Caenorhabditis elegans: one gene and its partner. The protein of the gene in region 1 purifies or fractionates together with the protein of each later gene. This does not show direct contact. Each region holds a gene or a part of one and is shown in the gene's direction. Other genes may lie near its edges.

Region 1 (3,754 bases):
TGAAAAAAAATCGCAAAAAAATTTTTTTTTCTTTAAAGTCGAATTTTTTCAAAAAAAATCAATAGTAAAATCGTAGCGTTTTCAGTGATTTTTCCCCCGTAAACCTACAACTAAACAAAAATAATCCGATCGAAAACTGGTTTCCCCGCAGGGTTTGTGTCATCGGTAATACCTATTGCATGAGGAAGTGTCTAAAAATAGGGCTGAAAATGTCAAAAATGATCTACTGATAAGGTGAAAGTGCTGAAAATTGAATTTTTTACACCTTTTTTGATAAGAAAATACTGTGCTCTACCGACCTTTTTGTATTCTTCTGAACATTATCAATAGAGCGCGATTGAAGATTCACCTCGAATTTTGCGAAAACCCTTGAGCGCCCACTTTTTAATGTTTCGATACATGATTTTGGTGTAGAAATGTAGAATTTTTGAATCAAAAACTAGAAAAAAAATAAAAAGTTCACGACTTTTTTGAATTTTCAGCTAATTTTTAGCGGGAAATTCAAAATTTTTATTCAAAAAATGGAAAATTACCGATTTTTCTAAATTTTGGGGAAAACCTGCTGATGGGAAGTCGCGTAAGTAAAAACGCAAACAAAAAACTGTCTGGGCAATTTCGGAAAATCAAGGAAAAACCAATAGAAGTTGAAAAAAAAATTCTAAAATTCAAACGCGCTCCATTGCACTTGGCTTTCCAAATGCGCGGGAATTCAATTTTAAGCTTAAAATATAAGTTTTATAAAATTTTAAAAACGTTTTAATACTGATATTCGTTTGTTTTAGTACCAAAAAAGTATTTCAAGGCAATTTTCTCCAACTTTTACTCTAAATAACTCTTAAAACGACCGTAAAATAAAGACAGACACCAAAAATGATGGGAAATATGACGAGTAGATTGATGATGAATGAGATAAGGTACAGGACAGAATGAAGTTGTAAATCTTTATGCAGTCAGAGGTCAAATACCTCCGCGGAAATATGAATAACAAAGGGTGGGCGGAAATCGAACGTTTCCGGAAGTTTTTTTTGGAAAATTTAAATGTTTTCTATTACCCATACTGGAAATGTTGCGATTTTTGCGCCGAAAAATACAAAAATACGGTTCCTAGTTTCGAAACGACAAATTTTTGTTAAATGTGAAAAGGTGTGCGCCTTTGAGGATTACTGTAGTTTTGAAATTGTGTACATGCAGATTTTTATCGACTTTTGTGTTGTTTTCGATAAATTTATGATTAAAACCCAAGTATAACAATAAAAACTCCTGGGTTTTATTAAGTCGCGGGAAAAACTACAGAAATTTCGCAAACCCTGGTTTCTCCGTAATATTTATAATTTTTAGCAATTTAAGCTGAAATTAATGGTTTTTTCTAATAAAAATCATTGAAAATTTACTAAAAAGCTTACAGGTGTTCGATATCTCGGTGACAACAAAGAAGCATCCGGTAGGGAGGGGCGAAAAGCTGTTCGGTATACATACATATATGTGTCTATTGACAAAGCTGGCTGGCAACAGGCAAAAACACGTCAAGCGATTGCGGGAAAAAGCAGGGAAAGGCACAGAATTCCAAACTTTTATTGCCATTTTTCAAATTATTTGCCCTGTTCCGCAAAAAACTTTGGGAAAATGGTTTTCTGTAACCTGAAAAGTCACAGTTTCCCATGTAAAAATTTCGATTAATATACAATTTTTCGGCGGAATGTGTACGTCGGCGAGTGTAGTGCGCAGCGGCGGAACCACCGTGTATTGATAATATAAAATTGTTGCTGGCGGAGATTAAAAATGTGTTGAAGACCGCCGGGAATGAATCATTCGGAAAAGGGCGGCCGCACAAACAAAATATCGGTTAAAATATGGAAAAGTTATGATTTGAATAGAGTGACGTCATGAAAATATATGATTTTTTACCGTTTTCTAGCGGAAAAATCATTTATGACAAAATTTTGCAACAACTATATTTAAATTCCCTCTCTTTGCTTTCCCTGTGGATTTACGATAAACAAAGCGCGCTAGCGTTATTTCGGAGTATCGTAGCACTGTACTTTTTATTTATTTTTGTTCACTTTTTTCTGTTTTTAGCAGGTTTTAAAACCGGTTTTCACAATGCTAGTAAGCCGAAATTTAGCGAAAACGATTTCCAATTCAAAAAATGCAAAAAATATTCACACTTCTTGCCGAAAATTCGCACCGGTAAGTTTTAAAATCAGTTTTTTCTCAAAAAACCAAAAATATATATTTTCCAGGTTCCCATGACATACGCCAGCTACTCATCACCAGAACTCGATAGAAATTCTCCTTTAGTAATTGTTCATGGATTATTCGGGCAAAAACAGAACTGGAACTCTGTCGGAAAGGCGCTGCACAAGAAGTTAGAGGCTCCAGTGTATGCGGTAGACGTGCGGAATCATGGAAGCTCACCGCATACCGAAACTATGTCTTATACAGAAATGGCAGAGGATTTAGTATTATTTATTGATAAAGTCAAGGAGGAAACCAAGAAAACTAGGGTTAATTTATTAGGTAAAATTTTGAAAAATTAAAAAAAAAAATTTTTATATATATTTTTTTAATTTCAGGCCACTCAATGGGTGGAAAAATTGTCATGAGGCTTGCAATCGACTCAAAATGGAGTGATCGAATCGAAAAATTGATTGTGGAGGATGTATCACCCAAGGGATATTCCAGGCGGCATTTAGGTCTGAAAAAAATTTTTTTTTTAATTTTTTCAAAAATCCCCCAATTTTCTTTTTCCAGAATTCCGAGAGCTCATCAAAACCATGCGAAACGTGGATCTTTGTCGCACTCGAAAGGAAATTCTCAAGGATCTTGAATCGGCGATTCCAGACTTGGCAATGCGCCAATTTATTCTCACAAATTTGCAGCCGTCGAGTGAAAATGAGGGGCAAATGGAGTGGAAAATCAATATTAATACGATCGATAGCCATGTGGATGAGATTTTGGGGTACTGGAGAGAAATCTGAAGCTTTTTAGCGAAAAATTGACGAAAATTGCCGAAAACCTAGAAATTGTGTTAAAAACTTTATTTTTGCACATTCTGGTAGATTTTTAGCTAAATTTCTATTTTTTGAGCAAAAATTGTCTGAAAAAGCGCATAAATTTACAAAAAAAAAACCATCTAGAAAATTAAAACAATTTTTTTCGATTTTCTAAAAATTGTCGAAAATTTCAAATTTTTTGTTCAATTTTGATTTTTTGAAATATCAAATAAAAATTTGAAATTTTTTTTAAATCTTAATCTCATTTTAGACGGTTTTCTGAAAAAAAAATTGAAAAAACCTAAAAAAAACTTAATTTTTTTCCTATTTTTTAGAAACATTTCAAATTAAAAAAAAATCTCGTTTTTTGTTCTTTTTTTCCTGAAAAATTAATTTGTTTAAGTTAGAAATAGAAAAACAAAAATAGGAAAAAATCATCTACAGAATTAAAACAATGTTGAATTTTTCGAATTTTAAAATATCAAAAAAGGTAAATTTTTCCAATTTTTCGAAAAAAAATTTTTTTTTAATGTTTTAAATCGTTTTGGACTTTTTTTTCTGAAAAAAAGTTTTTGAAATTTTAAGGAAAAAAACTTTAAAAATATTTTGGTTAAAAAATAAAAAACAAACAAATTTTTTTCTGACCTTTTTTTCTTAGTTAAAAATAAAGCTAATTTTTTTTCAATTATGAAACAAAGATTTTAAAAAAATCGAAAACATTTTACGGTTAAATTTAGCTAAAAATCTCCAATTTGCCACAT
Region 2 (3,754 bases), 9.5 Mb from region 1:
GGAGGTGGATGGGTCTCGCCGCGAATCTCGTTTAGCAATTAAGCTATGCGCCTTTAAGGTTACTGTAGGCAATTTTCAAACTTTTTAAATGCATTTTCTAGTCGATTTGAATCGAAAATCTTTTTTTTCCATTGAAAATCTAAATTTTTAGAGCGACTTTTAGCCCAAAAAGCTTTAATCTTAGTTTATAATCGACATAATGCAACAAAAAATAGAAAATAGCATAAATTACGTCTAAAAAATGATTTAAAAGCTTAAACTTTGAGAAACTGTCGGAAAATTCAAGAAAAAATCTGAAAATGGTTAAAGGGAGGCCACATTTGGAGGAGGATGGGTCTCGCCGCGAATCTCGTTGAGCAATTAAGCTATGCGCCTTTAAGGTTACTGTAGACAATTTTAAGTTTTTAAAACAGTTTCTAATCGATTTAAATCGAAAATCTTTTTTTCCAGAGAAAATCTAAATTTTTAGAGCGAATTTTAGGCCAAAAAACTTTAATTTTAGTTTATTATCGACATAATGCAACGAAAAATAGAAAATAGCATAAATTACGTCTAAAAAATTATTTAAAAGCTTAAACTTTGAGAAACTGTCGGAAAATTCAAGAAAAAATCTGAAAATGGTTACAGGGAGGCCACATTTGGAGGAGGATGGGTCTCGCCGCGAAATTTGTAAAGCAATTAGGGTATGCGCCTTTAAGGTTACTGTAGGCAATTTTAAAAATTTTAAAATATTTTATAGTCGATTTTAAGCTAAAATCAGTTTATAATTATTATCAAAGCTGGTTTTTTTTTAAATTTCAATTTTTTTGAGATTTTCATATCTATTTAAATCTAAAATCAATTTTTTTCCAGGGTCTAATCTCAAAAGTCAATCGAAAATGTGTCGCCGGAGCCGCTCTCCTCGTCGCCCTTAAAATGAATGATTACAAGAAGTCTACGATCAAATCGTACATCGAACAGGCCGAAGATCAGCTCCGCGAGCCGAAATCCGATCTTTTGGCTTATGAGCTTCCAATTTGCTCGGTGCTCCAGTTCAGGCTTCAGCCAACAATTGATGAGATTCAACCACATGTAGATAGATTGCAATTTGAGATGTGAAATATTGTTATTATGTAAACGCAGAAAAATGTGCTTTTTTGAAATCGTGGTGCAAGCGCGCTCCACGGATAATAGTTGGGTCTCCTTAAAGGTGGACTACGCTCAGTGGAGAAATTGCTTTAAAACACGCCTATGGGGCCACAATGACCGAATATCATGATATAAAAATTCAAAAAAATTTTCTAGATTTTATATAATTTTTTGAAAATTGGAAAAATAACAGTTTTCACCTAATTATTTTTGAATTTCCACCAATCGGATTCGTTCGATTGAGCGCGCTTGCATTATTTTTATTAATTAATTTTATTTATTCTCGTTATTTGACTGATTTTCTTCATTTTCTATGTTTTTTCCTCGGAAAATGAAAGAAATAAAAAAGACAAACGCAAAATGTTTGTTAAAAAGTAATTGAAAATGAGTAAAACTGTGAATATACTAATTTCAGGCTTGTTGTCGTCGGAACTCAGAATATCAGAGTTTTAATCATTTTCAATTCAAAAATAATTGGTTGAAAACTGTGATTTTTTCAATTTTCAAAAAATCATAAAATCTAGAAAATTTTTTTGAATTTTTTTATCATGATATTCTGTCATTGTGGCCCCATGGGCATGTTTTAAAGCAATTTCCCCACTGAGCGTAGTCCACCTTTAAGTATTGGCGAGAAAACCGTAATTTCAAAAGTTTTCAATGATTTTTCGTTGGTTTCGAGGTGAAAATCATCGAAAATTGTTAAAAATATTTAGATTTGGCCGCCATTTCTAACGAGACCCAACTTTTAGCAGAGGAGCGCGTTTGCAACTTGGTTTTAAAATACGGATTTTTCCGCGTTTAAATAATATGCAATTAGTTTTTATGTACTCAATCCATGACCCTTTTGAGATTATTTCTAGTCGACATTTTTCAAATTTAATAAATTTGGTTTTTTTTCCCTTATTTTTTCTTCAGATTTTCGATTTTTTTGCGTTGAATGTCGCTATTGTCTATATATTTTTTTCCTTAATATTTTTCCTAAAATCTAATTTTAAAAAAAAAATTTTTTCCAGCAAAAAATGTCCCAGTTTGAGTCATTTTATCAGGATGTAAGTTTTTTTTTTCAAAAAATTTGAAAAAAGTGTACATTTCTTGGTTTTTCTGGAATGTTTCGAATTTTCAGACAGTTTTCCGCGAAAAAATATTAATTTTATGTGGAAATATCGATTTTAGGGCCAATTTTGAAGTTTTAGCGAGTTTTTTCAGCTGGCTATCAATTATAAAACTATAAAAAAAATAAAATTTCGCCAAAACTTTGAAATTGGCTTCAAAATCGCGAATTCCAAATAAAATTTTTATTTTTTAAAGAAAACTTGGCTGAAATTTTTAAAAATCCAAAGAAAAACCACAAAATATGGCCAGAAAATGCGCGGGAATTCAAAAATAATTCTCAAAAATTTTTAAATTCAAGAGAAAAATTTGAAAAAAAACCAATTTTTTTTTGAAAAAGTTGAAAAAAACCATTAAAAATTTTAAAAACATTTTTAAATTTTTCCAGCTAAAATCCACGGAGCAACAGGACGCGGCTCTTACTTCTGAGCAACAAATCGAGCGACTTTTGAAGCCCGGTTCCACATATTTGAACCTTAACCCATATGAAGTGCTCCAAATCGATTTGGACACGGATATCGAGGCGGCTAAGAAGAAATACAAGAAGCTCTCACTACTTGTGCATCCGGATAAAAATCCAGATGATCGAGAACGTGCTGACAAAGCTTTTGATATTGTGAAGAAGGCGATTAAGCAAATGGAGGATCCGATTGAGTTGAATCGATGCAAAGATTGTTATACGGAGGGAAAAGCTCGGCTTGCTATTGTGGTACGGAGCAACTATGAAGATTTGCATGGAAATTCTGAGAAAATTTTTTAAAAAATTGGATTTTTCTGGAAAAAAAAAATGCCGAAATTTGGATTTTTTTTTTCGATTTTTTAATCAAAAAAAACGAAAGAAAAATCACAAAAATTCATCCCATTTTTCTCATTATTTTGTAGTTTTTCACTGAAAATCGAAAAATCCAAAAAAATTTTTTTTTAGAAAATGAACAAAAAAAATTCTAATTTATGTTGATGTGAAAATAAAATAGAAAAAGCCAAAAATTTGCAATTTTCGCAAAATATTTTTTGAACAAATCTGAAGACAATTATTTTTTATATTTTTTTTCTTCAAAAAATGAGGAAAAAAAACTAGAAAAAAACAAAATTACTGATATAAACCAAAAGCGTATTATTTTAAAAATAATTTTCCAAAAAATTGAAAAAAAGTAAATTATCAAAAATTTACTTTTTTAACGTTTTTTTGGAAAAAAATCGTTTTTTTCTTGATTATTTTGTGAAGAAAACGTAGTTTCGCAAAAAATTTCATATAATTCGGAAATTTTTCGTTTTTTTGTAAAAATTGTTTTTTTAAAATTCACTCGAAAATCCAAGACCACGAAAAAAATTAGTTTGTATCCTAAAAATTAAAAAAAAAAATTTTTGAAGCAAATTTTAATCAAAAAATTATGTTTCTTCGAAGAAAAATTGTAATTTTATACAAAAATTATGAAAAGTGAACGAAATTCGAGGGAATATATATATATATATAAAATTTTAAAAAATACATTTTTCAATTTTTTTGTTGAAAAAA

What was found. The genes of interacting proteins can lie anywhere in the genome.
Region 2: the proteins of abhd-11.2 (region 1) and dnj-30 fractionate together in Caenorhabditis elegans (co-fractionation; one large-scale study listed by BioGRID). This does not show direct contact.

What each region holds. Positions count from the first base shown.
Region 1 is NC_003279.8:12,181,515-12,185,268, reverse strand, and holds the start of abhd-11.2 (sn-1-specific diacylglycerol lipase ABHD11), read left to right. Parts: upstream 1-2,014; 5' UTR 2,015-2,100; coding exon 2,101-2,187; intron 2,188-2,240; coding exon 2,241-2,517; intron 2,518-2,573; coding exon 2,574-2,693; intron 2,694-2,751; coding exon 2,752-2,959; intron 2,960-3,754. Other genes in the region: nsph-1.2 (Nematode Specific Peptide family), read right to left, coding at 1,404-1,581.
Region 2 is NC_003279.8:2,719,863-2,723,616, reverse strand, and holds the start of dnj-30 (J domain-containing protein), read left to right. Parts: upstream 1-2,141; 5' UTR 2,142-2,147; coding exon 2,148-2,177; intron 2,178-2,626; coding exon 2,627-2,947; intron 2,948-3,754. Other genes in the region: Y71F9B.6 (Cyclin N-terminal domain-containing protein), read left to right, coding at 853-1,098.